Linked DNA regions of Xenopus tropicalis. The protein of the gene in region 1 interacts with the protein of each later gene in a pairwise test. Links are inferred from orthologs where the notes say so. Each region holds a gene or a part of one and is shown on either strand. Other genes may lie near its edges.

Region 1 (3,500 bases):
TTGCTTGGAGAGAGATATGAGCTGATCTAATTGTGCTAAACATCATCTAAATAATACTGTCCTAAATGGAATACATCCAGCCAAATAACATAAGGCTTCATCAAGAAGAGTACAGTCACAACCAGCAGTCCATCCTGTTCCACTCCTACATGAAAAATTCAGATATACACTAGACCGAATTCTGTTCAGAACTAAAGCTTTTACTGCTAAACAAAAAAAAAGTACTGTAAGATATAATTTAGGCTGTAATGTAATAATGTAAGGTTGGAAAAAGGTAATAATAAGCTATTCAATGCATTATGTGTTCTGGTACTTTAATAGGAACGTCACAAATTATTTTCTTGAATGAGGCGTGATTACTGTTTTTTCTCGAGGGCAGTATATAACAGTATCTAAAAAGAATGAGCATAGGTGTTATGTCCACTGCTGTAAAGGGTTGTAAAAAATAGTTATCAATCCTAATATTATGAACTTTAAAAAAATATGGTGCGTTTAGCGTACAGCTTGCTTTTATCTACCATCAGATCCATCAAGACATATTTATGAGAAGTTCACCAGAGGTTGCCAGCAGGAATCTATACCGCAGTCTTTTAAAGGGGCTGTATACCCTTATTTTCAGCATTAATTCAATGATAAGCCTTGGGTTGAACATACTCTTTGCCTTGTTTCACGTGAGAAATATGTATGTTTTTGTTATTTTTTTGAACTGAGCAGGGCGAAACCAGAAAATAAAAGTTGCATTCTGCTTGTTCTTATGAGCACAAAACAAATTAACTGTCCACTGAGAATGGTTTCATCTTGGATAATGCAATGGCACATATTAGCAGAGAAATACTTTATAAAGGTGTTTTAGTATGGGCTTTTTTACTGATATATTTTTAGAAAGATCTACTTTGTTCCAATGTATAGTACTAATCATTTTATTGTCATCTTTTTATTGCTAATCATGTAGTAGTTTGTGGTCCCCTACTACACTCTTAAAGGTAAAAATAGACATTTCTTAATAAAGTGTACATTGTCATTTCTCACAGAATTTGTGTATCAGACTGTCCCGCTGGTCACTACCTCGCAGACAAAAAAAGATGCAAAAAATGTTTCCTGCACTGTGAATCGTGTGTGGGGAGTCGCAGTGACCAATGCACAGCATGCAAACCTGGCTATTATTTAAATGAAGAAAGCAACAGCTGCATAATTAACTGCCCAGAAGGCTTCTACCTGAACGAAAGTAAGCTCATTTATAATGCATTCTTCTTTCACGGATGACAAATATTTCCACATGCAAAAACTGGCCATTTAAGTTTCAGAATTTGTTGAATTTGAGTAGGACAGAACAAACCATAGACTTTCAATGTTGAAGCTTCATTTAATACAGGTATAGGATCCATTATCCAGAAACCCGTTATCCAGAAAGCTCTGAATTACAGAAATCCTTTATCCCATAGACTCTATTTTAATCAAATAATTCAGATTTTTAAAATTGATTTCCTTTTTCTCTGCAATAATAAAACAGTACCTTGTATTTGATCCCAATTAAGATATAATTTATCCGTATTGGATGCAATACAATTCTCTTGGGTTTAATTAATATCTACCGTATATACTCGAGTATAAGCCGATCCGAATATAAGCCGAGGTACCTAATTTTACCTAAGAAAACTGGAAAAACGTATTGATTCGAGTATAAGCCTAGGGTGGGAAATGCAGCAGCTACTGCTAAGTTTCAATAATCAAAATAAATACCAATAAAATTTCATTAATTGAGGCATCAGTGGGGTATATGATTTTAAATATATATTTCAAAGCAAAACAGTAAACTAGCTCTGTAAGTGGAGAAGAGGGTCAACAAAAACAATAGGCACTGGAGGGTCTGGTTGCGGGTGGCCTAATTTGTACACAAAGGACAGAGGGTGCAAGTCTGGGGGGACCCATTGCACCCAACTCGAGTATAAGCCGAGGGTGACTTTTTCAGCGCATTTTGGGTGCTTAAAAACTAGGCTTATACTCGAGTATGATTTTTCAGTAGACTTAAGGTATGGAGATCCAAATTATGGAAAAAAACCCTTATCCGGAATACCCTTGGCCCCGAGCATTATGGATAATGGGTCTTATACCTGTAATAGGAATACCACCATCTTTAGTTTGGGCACAGAGACAAATAGAGATAAATATCATTTGTAAGATTTTAGCTGTGTTCACATTAGTAGGAAAGGGAAAATAAGGAGTCCTCAGGTGTCCTTCAATTCTAGTGGCAGCCGCTGACTCTTGACTTCTTGCCTACTTGATTTTTAAGCATGGTTTAGTGCACAGATGTGTTTAATAGATATCATTACTCCAAACGTGTACTTAAGGTTTACACTAACTCTGGTAGCTGGTACAGTTAATAAATAAGTGAGTTCAAACACAACTGCAGTGTAATATCTATGACATTTACCCAAAGTTAAATATAGTATGTGTGGAGCATTGTTTTTTTGTTTAATCCTGCAAAGTGCCTCTAGTAATTACTTTCAAATGCTAGCAGCTATGTTACTTCTGTATGTATGACACTGGAGCTGTTCCCAATAGCTGGCCACAAGCTAACAGCCCACTTGATATCTGTAGCTGGAATTGAAGAATGACCATTTTGTACTGATGGCATAATGGTTTTACTTATAAATTTTATTTGATTTTCAACAAAAGGTTGTAGCAAAAAATTTCCCTCACACTAGCTATGGTGTTTGTCACTGCACAGTGCACATGACATCAAAGTTGCAAAGGCTATTGCGTCAGTGCCAGACTGAAATAACTGCAATTGTAGTCACTCTACAGATCGATTGATTGTAACAAAGCCAGTGTGCACTATCCTGTTATCATAAAACCGTTTTCTGCCCATCTCTAAACTATGAGGGAAACTATGATCAGGCAGTATAATCCTACATGAGGTGCTACCTTGCATTAATAGTAGATAACTCACCTGTAGAAAAACACAGTTTCTCAGAAACTAGTTTCAGCCTTTCACTTTTTTTAAATGAAAATAATGTCACTTAGTGAGATATTTATTTAAAGGGGACCTGTCACCCTAAGAAAAAACTCCAAATTCTTTTCTATCATGCTTGTCAAGCAAAATAAACCTTATTTACACTATACAGATAGTATAAATCTTGTTGCCTTCAGTCTTGGAACTATTCAATCACAGCAAGCAGGCAGCTGCCATTTTGTGGACACTGTTAGTAAGGCAAACTTTGCATCACACCAAAATCTTGTTAAAGGACCAGATGCCCAGGCCCATGCACTGGCTACCTAATTAGGTGATGGGGAGGGAGTTGAAAAGTGTGAAGTGCAGTGACATCTAGGAAGTGCTGAATGGAAAGCTAAAGGTATTGTCTGCCCCGCCTCTATGCCTAAGGCATAGAGGGGGGGGTAGGCAATATATGATTGACAGCGGGGATTTTTAAATGTCTTTATAAAGGGTATGGATGTGTTATTTAAAAAAAGGAATTTGGGTTTCATGTTTAACTTGAAAA
Region 2 (4,063 bases), on another chromosome or scaffold:
TGGTATTTAAACAACTTAGAGTTAATGTGATTAATGGTGCAACATTTGCCCAGGTCTAGTAACCCATAGCAACCATATGAATCTTTCAAATAGCTGACCAATAAATGTTACCTGTTGGGTGGTTGTTATGGATTAATAGACCACTGACTTTGTGCCTTTTATTAGATTACCTGCTCGGCTTGCACCTACATAGCACACATGGGTCACCACTTGCTCTGAAATCAACCAATCACTATACGGCTGCTGCACTGCTAGGATATTACAACTGATACCCTCTAAGGCTGTCCTTGCAGGTACTGATAAATTGTTTCAAAACAATATTGGTGCATGAATGTTGGCCAGACAATGGCAACTAAGATCTTTTTATAATGGATACAATTCAGCCTGTCAATCAGAATTGTATGAAACGTATCTCCTAACGTACAATGTTAGCCAAAACAGCACCTCTTTCTAATCGGTGGTGGTTGTTGTGTTTATGGCCACTCATACAGTATCTGCCTAGGGGCCAAATGGCATGTGTATGGACACCCTATCACAGAAGAAACAACAGGAGCCAGGAAAGGCCCTGATGGTGGGTCACAGTTGAGAGAACTCTCCTACTGTAAATCCCTGGTAGGAAATCAAACAGGTTAAATTTAAATATGTGGACCAAAATTTGGTCAGGGGCCCTATGCCAATAACAAGATTACAGATATAGAAACCTCTACCCAACTTGCCTACAGGTAAAAAATGTAGCTTGTACCACAGTTGATATGGAACAACTCCTAGAACCTCCAAAAACAAGTGCTTAGAGCTTGAGTTAGAAACCCTATTGGCCTTCAGATGTAAATGAACTACAACTCCCAAAATGACCCCTGCAGCCTTTACCTTCCAGGGGGAATCTGGCATGTAAAGTCCAACAATAACATCTAGTGGCCATGGGTTGGCCAGGGCTCAGGGCTCAGGCCCCAGTCTGAGGGAAACAGTAAGAAAGCTTAAGAAATGTGACTCTGAATATATTGCTGAACTAGAGTTAGAGAGGGCAGAAGGTTGGTTAGCCACCATTTTAGGAAAAATGCTATGGTTTTCAGTTGTATTACCCCCACTGGGCATCCCTGATATGTATAGTAAAATATGTACAAAGTGTTATATACTTCCCCTTGATGGGCCCCAGTGTAAATTGTCTCTCTCTGTACATTATATTCTATAAATTCGCCAATCACCCCTTATTAGAGGCGGTGGCTAGTAGCCCCCTAGGAACACCAGCCAACAGCGCTATAACGCCCGGTGTATTAGAGCCAATGCCACAGCCGGGAGCCTGTATCCTTTATTGTAAGTCTCTATATCAGACACACACACGTCAGCCGAGCCCTTCCAGCGCCTTCTAGAAGCCTCCTGTGCCGCTGCCTCAGGCGAGCTCCCGGCTCTAGGGCTGTACCAGGCCGCACCGAGCAGCTGACTGGCTGGAATGGGAGGGGAATGAACGTGGCGGAGTAGAGACAACGGGAAACATAAATGAAAGGCGGGGGAGGGAAGCGGTGGTGTAACGGGCCAACCCTGCCGGGAAGTCACATGTCCGCAGCGGCTGGGGGCACAACATGGAGCCGGCAGGCTTACTAGCAAGGTCAAGGCAGTGGGCCTCCAGCCTGGATTCCCCGGGCTCGGCCGGCCCCGAGTTTTGCCAATAAGGGGGAACTGGAAGCAGCCATGCCGGGAAGCATTACCCGTAGCACTCGGGCTTCCCACTGGCAGCGAATGCCGGGTACCCACAACCCCAGGGCACAGAAGCATTTATAATAGGAATAAGCGTAGGAATCGCTGCTACTGTTGCCCCATGCAGGGCGCCCTCTAGCTGCTGGGTAGCGGCCCCAGGGCCCTTAGCACATTGTGCTGCCCAGTCAGCTGATCAATGGGAACAGCCGGAGTTAGGAATCCGTGGGCCCTGGGCACTGCTGCCATGCAGCCCGCCACCCTCCAGCTGCTGCTGAACTACAACTCCCAAGGGACTGCAGGGGATACATTCCTAATATACAGAGTAACAACAGCCAACTGTTACACAAGCACCTTCTCCCCCAGGGGCCCTGAGATACCGGGAGCCCAGTCCCTGCCCGCTCCCCTGTGTCCCCTCCCGGGTCCCCCTTACACAACCAGACACGATGGCTCCATACCAACCCCCAGCTAAATCACTGTATTCCCGGCGGCCCCCCGGGCGACGCTGTGATTGTGCCATCAGCCGGCTAGGGTGCAAGCCCCACCTAACCATTCAGCTCTGCTGCCCCCCGGTATACTGGGCACCCCCCATACATCCGGCAAATGTGCCCTTTACTGCCCCTTACCAACACTACCCTTTGCCCCATGGCTGCCCCCACCCCCGGGTCAGATGCCGACCTGTTTTCTTCTGGTGCGTTTCCTGGTGCTGTAGGGCGTGTTTCTGCTCATGTTTCAGCGGCTTGGGCTGGCATTTGGCGCTGCTGCCTTCGGCTCCATGCTGCTGGCTGTTTGTGTAATAGTAGTAATGGCTGTGAGAAGACGGAGAGTGGAGGTGGTGAGGATGGTGATGGTGGTAGTGGTGCTGCTGCTGTTGGCCAGGCTGCTCCTCCATTGAAAGTGAGTGGGCTCCCCCTGCGCTGGATGCAGAGCACAGAGCCCCTCGGTGGATGTGAGTGTGCAGATGCGCTGCCTCCCGCACTAGGGCAAGCCGGTTGGCTTAGGGACTTTCTAGAAACGATTGACTGTCTCTATCCAGCAATCAGGCCTCTCCAAGTGCCTCTTGTCGCCTCCCACATGCCCCTCAATGCCACCTCCCCTTCCTCCTTCCTGGCCGACACCCCTCCTTCCCTCCCTGCCTGCCGCTGCTGCCGCACAACTTGTCTCCTGCAACCTCACGGCAGGGCTGGGCTTCCAACGTCAGCACTATGGCTCTGGCACTGTGGCCCTAGCGCTATGGCTCTGGCACTATGACTCTGGCACTGTGGCCCTAGCGCTATGGCTCTGGCACTATGACTCTGGCACTGTGGCCCTAGCGCTACGGCTCTGGCACTATGGCTCTGGCACTGTGGCCCTAGCGCTATGGTCCTGGCGCTATGGCTCTGGCACTGTGGCCCTAGCGCTACAGTCCTGGCACTGTGGCCCTAGCGCTATGGTCCTGGCACTGTGACCCTAGCGCTATGGCTCTGGCACTGTGGCCCTAGCGCTACGGTCCTCACACTGTGACCTTAGCGCTATGGCTCTGGCACTGTGGCCCTAGCGCTATGGCTCTGGCACTGTGGCCCTAGCGCTACAGTCCTGGCACTATGGCTCTGGCACTGTGGCCTTAGCGCTACGGTCCTGGCACTGTGACCCTAGCGCTATGGCTCTGGCACTGTGGCCCTAGCGCTACGGTCCTCACACTGTGACCTTAGCGCTATGGCTCTGGCACTGTGGCCCTAGCGCTACAGTCCTGGCACTGTGACCCTAGCGCTATGGTCCTGGCGCAATGGCTCTGGCACTGTGGCCCTAGCGCTACGGTCCTGGCACTGTGACCCTAGCGCTACGGTCCTGGCACTGTGACCCTAGCACTACGGTCCTGGCACTGTGACCCTAGCGCTACGGTCCTGGCACTGTGACCCTAGCGCTGCGGTCCTGGCACTGTGACCCTAACGCTACGGTCCTGGCACTGTGACCCTAGCGCTACGGTCCTGACGCTATGGCTCTGGCACTGTGGCCCTAGCGCTATGGTCCTGACGCTGTGGCCCTAGCGATGTGTCCTGGGCACTGTGGCCCTAGGGCTGTGGCTCTGGCAGTGTGGCCCTAGCGCTATGGCTCTGGCAGTGTGGCCCTAGCGCTATGGCTCTCCCTGCTCCCGGGCAGCGGCGGCACCTTCATACAGCGCCTCTACAGTGGGAGCTTGCAGTCTGGGGTGCTCAGCCTACCCTAACATGGACCAATTGCAATGGGATATTATTAAACATTAGCTGTACTGAACAACACCACAGGGGCTGGAGCAGCCAGGCTGTGTGCAACAAAGGAATGACTAGGCATACAGGGGGTACATAGCTGTATTAAAGTGTTTCATTAGTTTCCTCATTGTTCTGTATCCTATACC

What was found.
Region 2: the proteins of pcsk5 (region 1) and nufip2 interact in binary tests that used the Homo sapiens proteins (3 or more experiments, as listed by UniProt). The two-hybrid records come from large-scale screens. The link is inferred for Xenopus tropicalis from reciprocal best matches to the Homo sapiens genes PCSK5 and NUFIP2.

What each region holds. Positions count from the first base shown.
Region 1 is NC_030677.2:131,823,291-131,826,790, forward strand, and holds part of pcsk5 (proprotein convertase subtilisin/kexin type 5), read left to right. Parts: intron 1-1,031; coding exon 1,032-1,225; intron 1,226-3,500. UniProt on the Homo sapiens protein: Serine endoprotease that processes various proproteins by cleavage at paired basic amino acids, recognizing the RXXX[KR]R consensus motif. Likely functions in the constitutive and regulated secretory pathways.
Region 2 is NC_030678.2:33,013,272-33,017,334, reverse strand, and holds the start of nufip2 (nuclear fragile X mental retardation-interacting protein 2), read right to left. Parts: upstream 2,801-4,063; 5' UTR 2,582-2,800; coding exon 2,368-2,581; intron 1-2,367. UniProt on the Homo sapiens protein: Binds RNA.